2 linked regions of the Coturnix japonica genome follow. The protein of the gene in region 2 interacts with the protein of the main gene of each other region in a pairwise test. Links are inferred from orthologs where the notes say so. Each region holds a gene or a part of one and is shown on either strand. Other genes may lie near its edges.

What was found. The genes of interacting proteins can lie anywhere in the genome.
Region 1: the proteins of NAPB (region 2) and STX6 interact in binary tests that used the Homo sapiens proteins (3 or more experiments, as listed by UniProt). The two-hybrid records come from large-scale screens. The link is inferred for Coturnix japonica from reciprocal best matches to the Homo sapiens genes NAPB and STX6.

The regions. Positions count from the first base shown.
Region 1 is NC_029523.1:5,885,213-5,894,901, forward strand, and holds the start of STX6 (syntaxin-6), read right to left. Parts: upstream 5,644-9,689; 5' UTR 5,587-5,643; coding exon 5,552-5,586; intron 3,401-5,551; coding exon 3,231-3,400; intron 2,661-3,230; coding exon 2,566-2,660; intron 1,151-2,565; coding exon 1,088-1,150; intron 1-1,087. UniProt on the Homo sapiens protein: SNARE promoting movement of transport vesicles to target membranes. Targets endosomes to the trans-Golgi network, and may therefore function in retrograde trafficking.
Region 2 is NC_029518.1:4,483,182-4,492,870, forward strand, and holds the start of NAPB (beta-soluble NSF attachment protein), read right to left. Parts: upstream 6,090-9,689; 5' UTR 6,016-6,089; coding exon 5,918-6,015; intron 5,466-5,917; coding exon 5,386-5,465; intron 5,098-5,385; coding exon 4,981-5,097; intron 4,549-4,980; coding exon 4,502-4,548; intron 4,385-4,501; coding exon 4,307-4,384; intron 4,007-4,306; coding exon 3,951-4,006; intron 3,475-3,950; coding exon 3,390-3,474; intron 3,083-3,389; coding exon 2,978-3,082; intron 2,513-2,977; coding exon 2,444-2,512; intron 2,144-2,443; coding exon 2,093-2,143; intron 1,906-2,092; coding exon 1,801-1,905; 3' UTR 1-1,800. Other genes in the region: vinculin-like, read left to right, coding at 6,965-7,170, 7,241-7,424, 7,915-9,689. UniProt on the Homo sapiens protein: Required for vesicular transport between the endoplasmic reticulum and the Golgi apparatus.

The DNA of each region.
Region 1 (9,689 bases), on a different chromosome or scaffold from region 2:
GAGACATGCTGGAGAAGCTGCTGTAGCCCAGCTCAGCTAAGGCTCTGCGGACTTAAGGGAAGGCGAGGGGTTGGGGAGGGAAGATGTCAAGGGGAAATGAGTTTTCCTGACCAGATGTCACCACACAAGCTGGGCCATATGGTCTCCTGCAGCTTGCAGTTTTAAGTAAAGCAGCAAAACTTAGAGAGAGCTACAGGCTTGTTTGAGCAAGACAGGAAGGGACTTTGCTTCTCCAAGTTTTTGCCAAGCACGTCAGTTAAGCCTGTAACAGGCTGACAAACCAACTCTGTGCTTCTCAGTATCTTCTTGCAGCTTATCATTTTTGCCACAAGTGATAAAGAATGATGCAGCCAGATAGGGCATGGCAGCTCTAACAGAGGCAGCTCTGGAAGTCAGCTCAAAGATCTCCTTACAGTCTCACTAGCCAGGGAGAAGCAAAAGCTGCATCTATTTCTATTCCTTAGATTACAAAAGCAGACAACCTGAGACTCCTTGAGCTTCTTCCATCTTCTTACAAGGTTAATTATCATGTGAGGCAGCTATTTGTGAAGGGATGTGGCATCCTGGCTCCTAAATACAGCAGAGCACAGGATTACATTTACAGAATTGGATTCTGTTTCCTCATGAGGTGGAGGGAGATTCCCCCTTCTGCAGGGTGATGCAATGCTGATGGCTGTACCCAAGCATTTCTGAAGATGGAGACAGATGGTGAGTGGTGACTTACTGCTCTGAGTGACAGGTTTGAAAGAGGGTGGCAGCAACGAGCCTGACAGAACCCATGCTCTCAGATCAGTGAGACAGACATGGCTCAAACACACAGCTTTGCTGCAGCGTGCAAGCCCCTTCCCAGAACAAATGTTTGTAAGGTGATGTGCTACAAAATGGGATATATATGGTACTTACAGCTTTAAAGGAGCTTTAACCATGCTAGATGCTCTGCCTTATGGTGCGGGTGTCCAAACTAAGTGATACGAAAGCTTCACCTAACACGTCTCAAAACAGCTGTTAAAACTGATAAATCCTTCGAGCTCTTTAAAGTACCAAATAACCACTGCGTTCACTTAGCTTGCCCACTTCTGATTCTCACCTGCCTGTTTTTTCTTTCAGCCAGTGCTTGCATGGAGGAATTTGACATCTGATCCTTCATTTCCTGTTTGTTCAAAGAAAGAAGAAGGACGTAAGCATTGGATTTGAGGTGACTTTCAGCTTCAGTTTGCTACCAAGTTGTCTATACCCAGAAAGATTTCTTTGTGGGGAGGGAGGGAAGGGTCTGTGGAAAAAATGCTCTTAAAAGCTCCACTGCAATTCATTGCTATTCAATACTAGAATCAACAGCAATGGGATATTTTGAAAATATCCCTTACTTACTACTCATTTTTATAGAATCAGATAATCATTTGGGTTGGAAGGGACCTTTATAGGTCATTAAGTCCCACTACCCTGCAGTGAAGAGGGACATCTACAGCTAGATTAAACTGCTCAGCCAGAAACACTTTGATTTGTATAATACCAGCTTAATGTTCCCAGTGACAGACGGTAAAGAAGATACGTTCTTGAAGGTCTTGGGAGCCCGTAGCCTGCATTTCATTCCCAGTTGTATCTGATTTAATCTTGCAAAGGACAAGATAGATTTCCTGTCCTGTGGCCCTCCTCTCTGACTGTCTCTCCTACAGAAGACAGCCACAGGAGGCTCCTACTTCCAGTGCAAACCAGTTCAGTTTCTATAGGGCAGATATGCAAGAAGCCAATATGATCCAGCAGGTGCTGATTCACTTTACCCACCAGCAGAGTTCTGATGTCACCAGAAGACACGTAGGTATGTTTTACTGCTCAGAGATGTATCACTTACAAGCAGCAGATCCCACCTGGTTACTTTTAATGCACAAGCTGCTTTCTATCACAAACTCTCTCCATGGAAAACCTAAGTCAAATAACTGCATGCTGGGGCTGCTGGGGCTTCAGGATCAGTTCCCAGGCAGCGAGCCTTAAGAACTGCCTCTGGACTGCAGGTAGGATGACAAGCTTGCTGCTAGCCACAGCAATGCAGCTTGTCAAGGAGGAACATCTGAGCCATGAGGGAAAGCAGAAATTAAGCTGCACTGAGCGTAGCAATTAATAGAGAGAAAACTTCCTAACCAGTGTGTAAGCAGACAGTGAAGATTTCAGAGAGACTTTTATTCTCTATTTATTACCACCGAGCTGTTAAAATATTCTTCCTGCTTCTGAATCCTCTCTAACAGCTATGTGAATAAATGCTGCTGCTCTTGCAGGTGCTACTGAACTTGAGTTTAATGCTGGCTGTAGCACTGAGTTGTGTGAAGCTGCGGCCCAACAAGCAGAGCTTTGCCAGGCCCACCTTTCTGTGAAGTACTGATATTTAAGAGTGTGAGCTTAAAGTCAGGCAGTCCTCGGTGGGAACATGTGATGTGGGGATGAGGAGGCAGCCTGAGGACAGGCAGGTAGGAGACTTACTCTCTGCTCTCCTGTTCAGCACTGACCTAGTCACCCTACTGGCTTTTTTTAACCACTCAAGCTGCCTTCTCTTTCCCCATCCTTGCTTCTTACCCTGACCACCTGCCGCGTGCTGGTGATGAAGGATTTTCTGATACCCAGCTCCGTGGCATCCAGGTTGAACTTCCGAGGGTTTGCCTCAACAATGCGTAGGAGAGGAGTTAAGGAGTCTGTGAGTGACATTCAGTGCACACAGACAGACAAACAGCCCCAACGGGAACCCACAAAGAGGCAGTTTTCCACTGTGCTGCACCTTCTCCTATAATGTGATTAGTAAAATACTAGATGTTGGAGGAATGAAAGCATGGCAGCAACATACAACACAATGCATGCACCAGAATGAGGTTTCTCTCCTGCTTTTTTTACAGCTCCCCAGTGCTGTGCAGTACTTTGAGCTGAACACGAGGGAAAAGGAATAGTTTTGGAAGCCAGCCTGCAGTATGAGTGACTACACAGAAATCCAAACTCATACAACACAACAGGCTTCTGAGAACAAAGCGTCTTATAATATACCTTGTCAAAGGGAAGACAAAAGGCAGAGGGAAATTCTTTTGCTGAACTCGTTTGCTGTTTGAGAAAAGCTGAGGTAAATGCAAAATTCAATCCCTGACTGTCCTGGTTGATGCAAAAATTAACTACCAGCGAGAGCTGGGACGTAGCTACTTATTACAGCTTGGGAACTGCGTGTCCCAACCTCCAAAGAACTCCAGAAAGGATATTAATTGTTTCATCCAAGTCTTCCAGGTCCCACTCGATGCTCCGCAGATTGTTCCTGAGCTCATTAGTGGTCCAGTCGATTTCTTCTCTTGTGGCAATGGAGGGATCCTGCAAGAGCTCTGTCCACCTCTGGAAGAGCCCCTGGGCAGTGTTCACAGCTTTCTGCACTTCCCTGAGGTTGGAGTGAAGAAAGAGAAGTGAAGGAACCACATCAGCTGTTCTGCAGCAGTCATGCTGGGACACGCCATGCCCAGAAGAGCTTGGAACTGCAGCCTCCCTGCAAGCACCTTTCCTTCTAGTTCATTTTGTGCAATAAGGATTCGCCATACCCACTGAACAACCCAGTCTCCTCTCCTGTTGAAGCACAAAGGGACAAGGAACAACTTATAGGTCGGCTACCACAATTAACAAGAAGACCAATTGCATCAGGAGTAGTTTCTGCTGAGTGACACAGAGGTGAGACAGTGCAGTGTGAGCGGCTGGACAAGACTGCCCTCATGGCAATTAATGTGCTGCATTCCTCTAAAGACTACCTAAGTGAGATACCCCAAGGATGAATGATGTTTATAGGAACTGTCCACACAGTGGTCAGGCAGACTGTTGTGTCCAGCACTGTTTATCTTAAGTTAGCATTAAAAAACTACACAGCTCTACTACACTGGCTTAGGGAACAGAAGTCTTTTCTGCTGCTCTAAGCTTTTTGGAGACGAGTGTATTCACAACATGGGAACACAGGCTTTGCTGACAGCACTGAATGCTGCTTTTGCGATCAGGGGCGAGCAGCAGGTAGCAATTCTCTGTGCCTACAGACACTGCAGCCCTGACCTGGGAACAAATCTCTCATGTCCAGGATGAGAGATGCAGACGATGTTGTGCTGGTGTGTCAGCCAGCAGAAAGTCAGCATCCACGTAAGACGCAGGGATTTATCTCCAGCAAAGGAAAGCAGTTTATCTGTTGGGAAAGCCCAGAAGGGATGAACCACGTCTGCAGCCGGCAGCAGCCATGTCAATGGCTGTCATGTCTCAAGCCCTAAGGTCAGCAGCTCTGCTCTGTTCTCTCTGCTGCTTGCAAGCAAAAGTTCTGGTTTATTTCACCTGTGTGTACTTGGAAAAGCACCTACCAGCAGGGATTCAAAGCTGGACACCCTAACAGGAGGAGTTACAAGCACCAGGGAAGCAAACTGAATGCCATGTGGCTGGGCTCAACTCCTTCCACTGTAATCTGCTGGCTAATAATTAACACCAGGAACAACACAACATCTCTCTCCCCTCCCAGCCCTTCCCCTTATGGCGCGGGAAACCCTCTGGAAAGTCTGACCGGCTGTTTGCTTCCCACCCACAACGATTAGCATTTGTTCCCCCCAGCATCAGCTTAGCTTGGCAGCAATCCCCTTCTGCTGGCTGCCCTGCAGCCTTTCCCACACCTCCTGTGCTCACCTGGCTTTTCCCACTGCCCTTCCTGAGCACTGTGCCACTGCTACGTGGAGCAGGATAGCAACAGCAGGAGTTGAAAGTGGCTGCACGCTGAATTTTGGAAGCTAAGCTTCTTTCCCCCCCCCCTATTAATTCCAGTTTCCCTTTCCTCTGACCTCAACTGCCTTTGTTTTGTGTTTGTCTTTGTTCAGGCTTTCCTCAGTGCCACTATCCATGTGTGTTTCTTCCTCAGATCATCTCTCAGCATGGTCACTATGCTCTGGTGCTCTGGGGATACCCTCGGTGAGAAGCAGCTTTGCATCCAGCCATGCTCTGCCCACTGCACGGTGACATGTCCAACCTCACATCCCACGTGCTGCTGATCGATGATAAGGACAGCTGGGAATGGCTTTGGGGGTGACAGTGGGGGCAGAACCCTCACAGAACTGTCAAGATCCCTGCTGGCCCCTCACAGCCCCCCAGATCCCTGCTGGTCCCTCACAGCCCTCCTCCCCAGATCCTTGCTGACCCCTCACAGACCCCCAGATCCCTGCTGACCCATCAGATCCATGCTGACCTCTCAGCCCCCCCAGGTCCCTACTGACCCCCCAGATCCCTGCTGGCCCCTCACCACCCCCAGCCCCACACCCCCCCATTTCACACCTCCCCTCAGAATCCCCCACCCCACACTCTTCTCCCCACACCTCTCACCCTCATCCATCCCCTTCCCAGCCCATTCCCTCCCCCTCAAGGCCTCCCTATTACCCCAGCACTCATTCTCCTCCTCACAGCCCCCACCCCCCACATTCCCCCTCGCATCCCTAGCTCCCTCCTCTCCCTCCCCCCTCACAGACCCCTCCAGCTCCCCAACCCTCACCTTTCCTCTCCCACACCCAACCCCATCCCTCACCCCTTCACCACGAAGAACGGATCCTCCATCGACATGATGGCGCCGACGCCGCCGAGCGCCCCGGCTGCCCAGCGCTCCGCCCTGCGCGCATGCGCGGCTGCCCGCTGCCAGCCGCCCGCCCCGTCCCGCCATGGCGTCGGCTGCGCCTCCCCTCAGCGCTGGGATGGGGCAGCCCGGCTGCCAACCCCTCCAGTGTCACTCTTTGTGTCGCTCAGTGCCGTATTTCCACTGCTCTGTAACACCTACAGTGTCCCCAGTACCTCCATGACACTCAAGATCAGTGAGTCCCGTGCCTCACTGCTCTTCTGGAGGGGGAATGTTCCTCATACCCAACCTGAACTTCTAGCACAACCTGATGCCATCCATCACCTCTCATCCTATCGCTGTTACCAGGAGCAGAGGCCGACCCCTCCTCACCACAGCCTCCTTTCAGGCTGTTATACAGAGCAATAAGATCTCCCTTGAGCTCCTCCACACCACCCCATCCCTCAGCTGCCCCCATCCCGCTGTGCCCCACACCCCCATGCTCAGGCCCAGCCTCCCTTAGCCAAGGCAGTGCTGCTTTGCTTATGGAAAACCCATTTGCAGAGATGCCTCCTCAGCATGGGAACCAGGTGAGTGGCTTTTGCAATCGCAGCACGCTTACTCACGAGTCAGGGGTGAGGACACACGTCGGACTGGTTTATGGGCATGGGAAAACACAGCGACTTGGGTGCATACAGCAGGAGGTGGCTGTATGCTGGGCTAAGACATGAACTTCATAGGGAGAATGAAGGCAGAAAGCTTTTCTTTGATGCTGGAAATGATGAATGGGGGTTTTCTTGCATAAGACTGCACTGCTGTTGTTTCACAGTAGGCTCATCTTGCTATCCAAGCTCAGGTTTTTGGCTTGGAAAGGCCAGGCAGCTTTTAGCTTTCCTCATGTTGGTGAGCATTAGCCAGCTGCAGAACTGGCCAGGGAGGATCTGATGAAACACTGGGAAGCTCCAGCTCATCACAATCCAACCTGCAAGAAAGCACAGGGCTCACGGAATGCTTTATCAGGAGAATTCCTATGGCATGTATGTACATGCACAGGGATGTGCTCAGCCTGCTGCTAACAAGGTGTATTTGATATAGTAGAGGTGGCTTTTCAATGGTGGTTGTGAGGGGAGGGTTAAGGCAGTGATAACTGGATGGGAAACATCAGTCTGTGGCTAAACAGTCATTGCTGTGGTGGGCTGCAAGGGTTTACATTGTGGTTTATAAAGAGGTTCCATGAGCATCGTGTTTAGAAACCTGCTGTGACTTAATTGAGAAGTGAGAAGTGAGAAGTGAGAAAGGGGCAGACAGCACTGAGCCTGTAAGGATGCTGGCCATGCTCAGGGCTTACCTGCAGCTAAAAAGGATTATTTATCTGGGTAATGAGGTGCTGGTTTGGCAAGACTTGATGGATTGGTGACAGGACTTAGACTGGCCCCATCTGTGGGGTGGATAGTGGGAGCTGCACTGTTATAGTGGGTCACAGAGGAGGTCTGGGGCACCCACGTGTGTGACCAGAGAATCCATTCCAGGCACTAATTAGAAGCAACTTTCTCTGGCCACCTCACCCCATCAACAGTCCTCATTATCCCCATGTCCACGGGTGGCTTTTGTACCCAAACTCCTTGTCACACAGTCAGCCCCGCAAGAGGGCAAGGTGGCAAAGGAAGGTCCTCACAAGAGGAAAGAGGCACAGACATTTCATGCTTTCTCTTCATTTTGGAGAGAGGGATTCAACACAAAGGGCTGAATGGGGCCCTGAGCAGCCTGATCTGGTGGGGGTCAACCAGCCCTTGGCAGGGGATGGGACTGGGTGGGCTTTGAGGTCCCTTCCAACCCAACCATTCTATGGTGCTGTGATTACATGATTCTACAATGCCGTGATTTGATGTTTCTGTGAGCTGCTCTGTCCTTGAATGCCACTCTGAGGATGCCTGGACGTGGTCCCTCACTGTTAGCTTGGAGCATGGCAGCGTGACACAAGTGTCATTGCCATCCAGCAGGAAGCTGTGGGACACAGGGCACATCTGTGCTCCACGACGTGCGCAGGGCTGCAGCCGGCACTTGCCTGCCAGCTAAAAGGAAGGTGACTTTGAGATGCAGGGAGAGAAAATAATTAGACTGTGACTCCTTTGGGCAGGCAGCCTACCCTACAGTCTGCAGGGCTGCGGCTTCGGCTGGCTCTGATGTGTGGATTTAACCCTGTGCTGGGCTGCAGGTGAACCCAGGCTCCTGTTTGGCACGGAGTGAGAGCATCCCTCAGGGCACAGAGCAAATCACCCAGTCGGCATCATGTGAGCAGCAGCCCAGTGCTGTGCTGGGCTTCTCCTGGGCACCAGGAGGACCAAAGGACCAGAGGAACAAAATACAGGAAGGTGGACTACAATAGAAGGGTTGTCTGATAGGAAACCCCGGACAAATAAATGTGTTCTTTCCCCAGGAAACCAAAGCCAATTTCATAAAGGACTGTAAGCTGTGGGGCCACCTTTTTCCAAGGGAAATGGCTGCCTGAAGGAGCTGATAACCATCTACATCCTTATCCAAACTCAGACAAGCTGTGGGTGCCCTAACTCTGGATGGATCCCTGTAAGGTCATGGATGGAGCCCTAGGTAGCCTGACTGGTAGGGGACAGCCATCCCACGGCAGGGTTGGGGCTCACTGATCTTTAAGGTCCCTTCCAACCTAAGCCTTTCTATGATCTCCCCGAATGGAAGAGGGGTTTTAACCTTGGAAAAACCCCTTTGCTTTCTAGTACGGTGCTGCGCTGTGTGAACGCGAGGCTGTGGTTTCCAGTGCAGGTACAGAGCACTCTCAGAAGCTGGGGGAGCCACTTCCCTTCCTTCAGCTTTAGGTCTGTGTTGCTTTCTTTGTTTCGCTTGCGTGTTGTGTTGGGTTGTCACCCAGCAGTGCTTAGTATTTGGGGATGTTCTCTCTGCCCTTGTCTTCAAACACAGATAACCCAGAGCAGATGGGAACCGGGGAGCATTACCTACCCATACCCAACAGCGGGAGGCTGAGACTGCATCTGTGTCAACCATTGATTTATCTAGGAGGGAAGAATCAACCCAAACGATGCTCAGCGTTAGATATCTCTTATCTCTGGCTACAAAACGAAGCCCTGTTTGGGAATGGTTGCTTCATCAGTGGAGCCTGGAGATGTCCTGGAGGTCCATTGTCACTTGGGGAAGCTCAGTACGAAGGGTTTTATCCCCTACCACGCTGCTGGTGTGAGAGTCTGTGTCCCAGGAGGAGCCCAACCCCCGAACCAAGAGAAGGGCGATGATGCACCGGGGAGGCTCCAGGATCCCGTGCTTGGAGGACACCTGGATGTCTCCGGGATCGCTCCCCATTCCTTCAGAGTATCTGCCCGGCTCACATGTGTTGACAAGGCGCAGTGCCGGCTGCCGGAGGGTCGGCGCCAGCTTGGAACAGGATCTGGGTAACCACATCCGCACTCGGCGACAGGTCGGGGGCCGCGCTGCGTGCCAGATGGCCCGGCCCGGCCCGGCGCTGATGGCAGCGGGACCCGAGAGCTGCCGGGACGTGACAAAGCGCCGTTCGCCTTATATTTCCGATAGCGCGAGGGAGGCGGACAGAGAGCTGATATGAGACGGCCATCGGGCCGTGGGCAGCCCGTGCCACGAGGCAGCAGCGCCAGCCCCCGAGCGAACTTCCCGGAGCTGATTGAATCGCCTATAAAAAAGCAGCCGTGTGCGCAGCCTCTGCGATTACGATGTTGTACCGCAAGCTGCTTCCTGTCCCGAGCCTCTTTTATCTCGCATTGTTTTCCTTTCCAGGTGGGGCTGCGGGCTCCCCGCCGCTCGGCCCCCCGGGTTTCCTGCTCGCTCCGAGCCACCTTTGTCTGCCGGCCCCGCTATTTCGGGAAACGGCAGCTGTGCCGAAGGGCTGCGAATTGTTTGTCAGCTCCTTTCCAGCCTGCCCAGATCACACGCGGACAGAGAAGCGGCCGGTCGCACCCTGCCCGCCCGGCTCCTGCCGGGGATGGATGGGGCGCTGCCCCTCGGCTGGGCCACGCACACGGGGACGCGGCACCTCCCCGCGTGGGAACGGGAGCAGCAGCGGCACGACGGGCGGACGGGTACAGACAGACAGACA
Region 2 (9,689 bases):
GGATGCTGGTACAGCCCCAGGCCATGCTGGGAAAAAACCCCTTATTTCATGTTTCTGATGGGCTGAGCAACTCTGATGAAGATGAGCAGACAGAGCTGTAATTCAGAGACTTTCTTAGGCAAGGCCATGTGACAGACAGATGTGAAATGAGGTGAGTTAGGCTGCAGTGATGGATTTGTTGCAGCCAGACATTGGCCATAAAAACACACCTGAGATGTGAGGAAACTGAAATTGTGTGGGAGACCGAGCATCTTCCCAGCTCACTGGACTCATCCTAGATCTGCACAGCTCCTGGGTCTCACCTTCCATGTTCTGATGCATAGAACAGCCTATGGAGAAGAAGTGACTGGAGAGAAGAGTCAGAAAAAAAACAAATGTGCAAAGCAGCAGTGAGTTTTGGTTTTCTTGAGCAAGCAGGAAATAACAGTACTGCTTCACAACTACTGATCCCTTTTAGGTCAGTCTGTTGATCGAATGGTTTTCTACTCCAATAAACATAAAGAATAAAAACAGAGCAGTGAAAGCCAACACATGGGCTGCCAGGACAGGAGCAGACAGAATCCTTACAGCGAGAGAAACAAAAGACAGACTCCAAACTGCAGCAGTACCCACCAGAGCTGCCACCACCAGCACTGCTGCTAAAGCAGCTACGTCTCCATTCTTAGTGTCTCACTCCACTGCAGAGAAATGCCAAGTGACAACTGCTGACAGATTGCATAGGCTCACAGGTCTGCCAGTCTATACGCTGGACTGTAGGTAGCTTCATCAGTGCTAGTCAAACAACGCGTTGCACAGAGGAGCTTTGGTTGCAGCCATTTGAAAACACATCTCTAAAACGACAAGGAGAATTTCTAAAGCGCCTACATCTCTTCAGAGCACGCTCCATCCATCTGTTACCCAAACACCTAATAAGACAAGGGTCCTGCTCAGTGCCAAGCCTCCGCCAACACCTCTGCACGTCACAACAACGAGGCAGCTGAGTCAACAGCAAAAGGGACTGAAGCTAAGGGGCAGTGCCTGGCACACACAAAAGACCTGCAGGAGACAGCAACGGGAGCTGATTTAAATGAGAAGTTAGAAAAATATATTATTACGTGGGTCAAGTCATCGTAGGGTAGCAGGGTCAGGGGCTGTGCCACAGAACAAAGTGGAAAAATAGATCCAAGAAAATAGAGAAGAGCCTTACACTTTATATTTAGATCTTAAATACAAAATACACGGTTAACTAGGTCTGCTCTCCTGCCCTCTGATGTGCGATGCTTCCAGCACACGTGTATCTGTGTCTAGGAGTCACAAAGCTGTTCACTAGCACCATTTAAAAAGCTCAATCGTTAAAAAAACAAAACAAAACAACCACAAGATTCAAGTGTATCTGGCAGAGGTTCATTTAAAAACAGGAAACAATGATACAGCAGCAGATCAGCATCTACTATTTGTACTGCACTGGCACAAAAATGTACATGCTCAATTCAATGGTATTGAACCTTAAGACGGAACAGGAAGGGAAAAAAGGAGTTCTAAGTGCAAACTTCAGGGTGATCAATAACAAAAAAACACAAAGATTTCTGCCAGAGGTGTTCCTTTCACCTTAGAAAAACCTGCCAGTGATAACCCAGAGCACGGCTTCTCAACTACCCACGTTGCCACAACAAAGAGCAGGGTACTAAAGAAACACACAGTCATTGGGACTTAGAAGCAACAAAATTAAGCTAGATATTTTATCACGTATCCTGGAGTGGTCCTTGGCTGTAACACGAGAACAAATGACTTAGGCTGCATGCCACAAACACCACGAATAATTCACTTCAGGTCGCCGTCCCCTTCTCCTTGAATTGACTTCTTGATGCGAAGCAACATGGTTGTGAGCCACTGATCCAACCGCGATATCGAATCGAACTCTTTAACCTATTAAAGGGAAAGAGAAAAGCAGTCGGAAAGCAGCCGCAAAAACAAGCACCGTGCATCTCTTGAAGTGTAATCTTTTAAACCTTCAGCTCTTCCCGAGGTAGAAAAGAGCTCTGTTAAACAAGAGAAAAAGGGAGGCCGCCTCAAAGAGCCCCAGATAGAAACACAGAGATTGGTGGGTACTTACTGCCTCGGTGTACGCCTCGGAGTTCTGCTCCTCGTGGGCTTCCAGCAGTTTCTAGGAGAACACCATGACAAGTCAGACAATACTGCAAGTCCCTCCATGAGGGGGGACCTTTGCAACCTACCAACTCCCCACCACAAACACAAACCCAGGTTTGTTCAAGTTAACCACAATAATCATCTTTCTGCTGCTGCTACTCCCACCCGCCTGGTCTGAATCCAACACAGAACGAGTCTGATGTCCCTTAAGGCGTTTTGAAAAGAAGGCCAAACCCGTGGCAAGGCGAAAAAAAGCACAAAGGGCAGTTTACAGTTCTAAATGTGAGCATGTTATTTTAATGCTGTCTTTACTTACTTTCAATAGCTTGCACTCCCGTGAATCTGTAAAGGCTGGGAACATTTCTTCGTATTTCTCAAGCGCCAGCTGAAAGAGAGAAGCACACCCTCAGGCTCTTTTCACACACAGTTCCTCACTTCTTATTTCACTTTTTTCTCTTCTGGTCCTAAAACCACACAGAAATCATTCAGAGCAAACCCAACAAGAACAGGAAAGGAAGAGGCAGGGTCAGATCTGGCCTCAATCTGCTCAGAGCCGTGGCCCAATATATCACTCAGCAAGAACCAAACAGACACAGCCAGAGCACAGGCTGGGAAGGAAGCAGAAAACTCTGCACTGGACACTGCAGTAGCACGTGCCCTGATTTACCCCTGAGCATCACTCTGGATGTGCTGCAGTTCACCCTCCATCCTGCTTATGCTGGAGTCTGGTAGCGATTCAGCTATCAGCAGGTGACAGCACCAGCTACAAGCCCCTATAAAAGCCTGCAGAAACACCTCCCTGGTCAGCATGGCTGCAGGAGGTTGGGGCAGCCACTCTGAGCCCACTGACCTTAGCGTTCAGCTCATCCACAATGAAGTGACACAGAGCAGCTTTGAAGAAATACTCCTTTGCGCTGTACTTCAGCAAAGGATTATCCATCGTGTTTGTTCCGACCTGGGCATAAAAAGGAATTATTGGAGCTGGGAAAGAAACGTGCATCAGTAGGAACTGAATTACAAGCACGACACCTGATTAAAACCGCACAGAGTACCACCCAAGCGTCTGCAAATAAAAGCCATGACAAATGCCAGTGTCTGTGCAAACAGTTATGGGGCAGCCAGACAGCTTTAGGGGGAGACACCGAAGAGGAAAACCCATCCCCACCTTCAGATTTCTTTAAGTGAGGCCCAACAGGGCAACCCAGCGCCCAGCCCAGGCGGTGTTGCCTGCAGGCACAGAAGGACAGGCTGCCCCACCTCACCTGCTCATAGATTTCTATCGCCTTCTGGTACTGCTCCAGCTGCGCAGCGTAGGCAGCCACCTTCAGCAGACATTTGTTGGCTGAGCTGCAATCCATACCAGAAAATAAGTGAGGAAGGAGAGCATCCATGCCACCTGCAAGCACCTGCATGCATCCCAGCCTCCGCCTGCTGCCTAAAAAGGCAGAACCCACGAGCTACAAAGTAGGTGACTAACAAACACCCAGGGAAAAGCACAAAGACCTCACAGCCCGACCAGATGTCAGACATCGCTCATCTCTTTGTGCTTTCTATGCACCTAGAACAGGCACACCAACCAAGATGAGTCTGCTTGCAGCATAAGAACCCTGCACAGAAATGTAAGCATCCTTTAGAAACCCAACTGGCATGACGCACGGGCACCTGCTAGGCTTAAAATAATCACGTAGGATTTGGGCATCCTACCAAAGGATGTTTTAGAAGAGCCTGTTGGGTGAGGAGTATGAGGATGTATGCAATCTAGGGCAAGTCCCCATTTCCAACCCTTCCCTGCTAGAAGGAACCACTTCCCAAAGCCCACTTGCCTGTTGGACTCTTCTCCTTTGTAATAGTCCGCAGCCTGCTCGTAGTGCGCAATCGCCTGGGGACAGAAACATTATGCTTGAACACTGCTTCTGCAGCGGGGGTTTGGGTTAGATCAGTGCACAGTGACCATGCTCACAAAAGCTTTTCCGCTCTGCAGATGAAAGGAGTGAGATGACGACACGCTGTGGGGCTGTGGGTCAAGAGGGGCACCCAGCAAACTCAAAACGCGATGCTGCCCTTGAACGTTCACCCACATGCTTGTTAACAGCCCCAGACTCCAAAGCATGTTTAATAAAGGTGATGCTTCGGGATCTCAGTGCCCTACAGCAGCAAACACAGGGTCTGGCACTCTTACCTTCTCGATGTCAACCAGCTCGGCCTCATAGATCTCTGCAATGGTGATGTGGTGTTTGGCTGCGATGGTGAACCGCCCCTGGGGAGGACAGAAGTGCTGTGAGAGGAGGTTCCTCCCCGCCTGGCGCACAGTCATAACGTGGGCACAGTGACCGTGCCTTGGACACACAGCTCAGCCCCAACCCCAGCCTCTTACCATGTCGGTGTAGATATCGATAGCTGCATTTAAGCAGTTGATGGCCTCTGCAGCATGTGTGTTCAGAAAAACAACACAAAGTCAGCTGGCACACCAGAGCGCCCATTTTAAGACTTTCCCCCCAAAAAACAACTTGAGAGATGTGGAACATCTGGGGGCACACCTGGATGTCTATGGGGCTGAAGACCCTGAGCCCTCAGCTTCAGGGGAATCTCACCCACTGAGCCCACCTCAACCATCCCACAGCAGCCCCGACACCAGGCGGTGACACAACCATCAGGACGAGCCACGTCCAGCCAACAGAAAGCATCTCTCTCATGCCGGAGAGATGGCACAAGGAAGAAATGGCAGTAATCCCCAGCAGGCTGCATAGAGGCTCTCCAGGCACACGGACCAGCTGACTCTGAAAGCCGTGGCGCTGCGCTCCTATGCTGCTAAGAAGATTTGCACTAAACAATCCCGGATTTGATCCCCTGTACCTTGTGGGTCTGCTTTTTTGTAGGCGTTCCCAGCGTCCACAAAGCTGGTGGCCGAGTCGTGCTTGCTTTGCAGCTGCATGTGCAGCTTGGCTGCTTGGCAGAAGGCGTTCCCTGCAGCTGGAATAGAAGCACAGCACCGAGTGTACCCCACAGAGAGAACAGAACTGCAGGGAAACAGCCGCCAACCACCCGGCACCAGGAAAGCTTCAGAGTTTCAACAGCCCCAAAGGCATTTCCAACCCAGGTCAGCACAGCGATGCTGGGCTCCGTGCAAACCTCCTCCCACAACATCAGCACCCCGAGGGCTGCTATAGCTCCAGTTTAGCGTGGTAAGCTGTCCCCAGACGGACCCATTTAACAGCACAAATACTCGGTCCTGCCCCCCCTCCCCCAGGCCGCACTCACCGCTCCAATTTTTGGCAATCTTGAACATGTTTGCAGCCCTGGTGTACATCTCACAGGCCTCCTCCACTCTGGTGTTACCCCTGGACGAGAGCAGGAGAGAGCATCAAGCCTCTTTTGCCTCTTTGCAGGCGGGTTTCAGTGCCTGCACAGCGCTGCTCACAGCACCCTGCGGGCACCGCGGCTCCCACCCTCCGCTCCCCGTGTCGTGCCAGCAATTATTCAGCAAAACACAGCCGGCCTTTGCCATGCGGACACATCCACAGCCGCCCACCCAGCACAGCATCTGCGTGCACCGAGCCGCCACCCCCTGCTCTGCTTATGGGGCGGGGGTGTCGTCCGGGCCGTGCAATCCCCCTTATGCACCCCCCTGCACGCCGATCACCCCACCTCCGCAATTTCCCCCTTTTTGCATCCCCTCCCCATCGCATCTCCCTTTCGCAACCCCCACCTCCCCGCACCGCACCACCCCGTTATTTCGCAGCCCCCTTTTCCTCTTGCAACCTCTCCCCCTCCCCATCCCAGATTCGCTCACCCGAAGAGCCCCCGCAGGAAGGAGTGCGAGCCCTTCACCCGCTTCTCGGCCTCGGCCATCAGCTGCACGGCCTCCCGCTCCTTCCCCGAGTTGTCCATCGCGGCAGCGCTCGGCCAGGCCCGGAGCCGCCTCCTCTTCCTCCTCTTCCTCCTCCTCCTCTTCCTCCTCCGGGAGCGCGCACGGAGGCGGAGCACGGTGCGCAGCGCACGATGCGTGCACGCAGCGCACGGCCTCGGGCTGCACAAGAACACAGAAGGGTCTCCCTGCGGCTGCTCTCCATCAGTGAACGTGCACAGGAAAAGCCAGGAGAAGAGGCAATCAGTTTGCCCATTTCCTGTCCCGTTCCTCAAAGTAGAGATGAATTCCTTCTTCTTGGCAAAGCAGTTTGGCACCAGCATCCCTGTTGTGCGCTGGATGCCAGCGCCATCGCTGCAGTGTGCTTGGCCAAGATGTGCTGGGCTGCACACAAACATGGCAACACACGGGCTGGGTGATGCAGGGCGGGTTGGAGCTGCCAAGTGGGTCTCACCTATTGCCAAAAGGAGCCACATCTGCTGCTTACAAAGTGAGAAAGCCCACAGGGGAAGCCTGGCTGTGTGCTGCCCCTGGGCTGCAGCTCCTGGTCCTGTCCTTCAGACCTGTGCTTTTCAAAGCATCCGCAAAGGGAATTAATCATTAAGTTGCCCACGTGGTTTTGGATCGCTGCCCCAGAGCTCTCTGCAGGTGCAGAACTCAATACCAGGGAAGGTGATCGCTGTGCGGCCCAGGCTCACATAACACCAGCTGCAGTGGGAGCTGCTAAGAGCTGAGCTGTCAGCACTGCGGCACCTCGATGGGACGCACACACGGGCTCCACTTACAGCAGGGCTGGGAAGCTCTGGGTCACTCACAGCACACCTTCCCTCCTGCAGGTTGGTGCTGCACTCAACGCTCCAATGGCCTCCAGGGTTTCCTCCAGCCCAAGATTGCTGCTGAAACGGATCACACGTTGTGAAGGATCCCAAACCATTCCAGGTTTTATTTCCCTTCTTTTCCAGGCAGGACACAATGGAGCCTTTTTATCTCTATGATCTTGGAATACAGACAGAAAACAAAGCTATCCAGAGGATCCTTTGCCCCATGGCCGCAGAGCTCTGTCATCTAATCCTCGCCCTGGAACAGGAAGATGGGATGTGTCAGACCTTACCCAATATAGAGGAGAATGCAGAAAGATTAGCCAAAGCCACTGATGAACTCGCTTCTGCTGCAAGAAGGTAATTTTGCTGGCCGATGGGTGGTACTTATGGAATGGGGACATGCTGAGCTCTGAGGCTTTTCTTCCAGATTGGCCGAGCAATCCAGTGACAAGGTATACCAGGAGGAGACACAACTCACAGCCCAGTCCCTCATGATGGCAGGGAGGCACGTGCTGCAGGCAGCCCAACAGCTGCAGGGACAGCCGGACAGCCACAGCCACAGGGAGGTGCTGGCTGCAGCAGCAAAGGGCGTCCTCACTGAGACCGTGAAGGTAATGCCGGAGGGGATGGTGCTGGTGGGGAGGGTGAAGCTGGAGGAGGGATGAGATGGCTGGGACCAGCTGCGGGAGCTCTAGTTGGAGCAACAGTTGTTTCTTCAATAGGGTGAGAGTGGATGGCCTCATGTTGTGCCCGGTTGTAATTCACGGTGGGTATCAGGAACAATTCCTTCTCCACAGAGCGGTGATGCAGTGGCACAGCTGCACAGGAGTGGTGGGGTCACCGTCCATGGAGGTGTCCCAGAGCCGTGGGGATGTGGCACTGAGGGACGTGGGCAGTGGGCACGGTGGGGTTGGACTGGATGATTCTGCTGGTCTCATCCAACCTTGATAATGCCAGGACTCCCTATGTGCTCACTAGGGCAGGCCTGCTGGGCACTACACACCTCTTTTCTTCCCAGCTGCAGATACAGTATCATTTCCAGAGGGATGCAACAGTGATGCATAACCTTATCCACGCTGCCTTTGCTTTCTGCTGCACTAGATCCTTCGGATCGAAGGTGCTGCTGGGACAAGGAGGATAACGCAGGCTGCCAGCTGGCTGCTGGAGTGCCTGGGCACGCTGCGGGATACGGGGGATGTGCCAGGACTGCTGGGTGCTTTCCAGGACTTCTCCAAGGCCTTTCTTCTGCTGAGCAATCTGACAGCACAGCACCTCCAGGAACTCCAAGACTCTCCTCGACGGACCCGCTTGGCCCAGACTTTGCAGCTCCTTCAGGAGTGCGTTCCTCTGATCCATGAATCCAAGCACCGCCACCTTCAGTGCTCCTGGCCTCAACGAGTCAACTGCTCCAAAAACTATGCCTTCCAGCTGATGGAGAGGACCATCCAAGAGCTTGTTTCTTTGCTTGTCAACAGCAAGGGCAGCAATGAGCTTCAGGACAGACACGGGACCTTCTCCCATCATGTGCAAAGGCTGCTGGCTCTCCTCTACCACCCAGACCCAGTTCACCTCTCTGACAGCGAGTTCAGCGCTCACGTGGAAGCAGTAGTTTTCTACTGCATGCTTCTAGCAGAGATGTGCAGGGCAGATCTAAAGCAGGATCTGGTAAAACGTTGCTGGGTTCTCCTACAGCTCAGAAAGAGCATTTGCTGCCACGTAAGTCAGCAGGAGGGACGGACAAGGCCAAGCTGGGGAGAAAGCAGCCTGCAGGAGGAATGTCACACCATGAGAAAGGAGGTGAAGGACCTTGACCAGGCTGTGCTCAAAGCTACTCTGCATGAAATCCTCAATGCCTTCTCTGAGGCTAAGGAGCCCCTGAGGCAGTTAGTAGAGGAAGCTCTTACCCATGCAAATACAGGGTATTTTCCAGCAGAGCAGGGAGGATTACTGAAGAAGCTTCAGCCCCTCACTGCCACCTTCTTCACACATGCCCAGCAGGTGCTCAGAGTGACAGACTTTGTCCTGGGCAGGTGCACCAAACCTCAAACTGCTACAGAAATCCACGACTGCATAGAGCACTTGAAGAGCCTCCTTGCCAGTCTCCCTCCGGTGCTCACAGAAATGAGCAGAAATCCAACCCACGCGAGCACTGCTCAGCAGCTGCAGTCCTTGTACCACGCATGGGCCAGGACAACAGAAAACCTCTTGCAGTGTTTTGAGGACACAATCAGCATGCATGAGTTCATGAAGGTGTCCATCCAGGAAATGGCCAAGCACAAGGAATGGTGTGACAAGGCCCTACAACATCAGGACCCCGAAAGGCTCTCTAGGCATGCTGCTGTCCTCACCAGTTGGGCTCGGTGGGTCACTGAAGCTGCTGTCAGGTATGTGGATAGAGCAACAGACCCCATCTTCAGGAACGGCCTGCTGGTTTGGGTTGAGCAGCTGGCCAAGTCCATTCTTGAGCTGAAAGCAGCCATGGCCCTTTGTGCGGAGAAATGCTCCTGCCTTCAAACTAGGGCTGTCTTTTCAAAGACAGTGAGCTCCCTGATGGATGCTGCTCACTGCATTCAGGATGGGCTGGATGGATCCAACCACCCAGATATCCTCAGCCCTCTGCGGGAACAAGTACGGGGTGCTGATGTTACGAAGGAGCTTGAACTCAACTCATCCTATGCTGGGTTAAAAAACATTACCAGCCAAACTAAACTGCAAGAAGATACCTTAAGTAATCCGTCCCCACAAGCAGGTAACTCACACCCAGATGTTGTTCCAAGGAAAGGAGAAATTCACCCTGTCATTACAGCACTCCTAGCAGCAACAAGAGCCCATGATACAGCAGCTGTGAATGCTGCCTGCTCTGCCTTGCTCGAAGT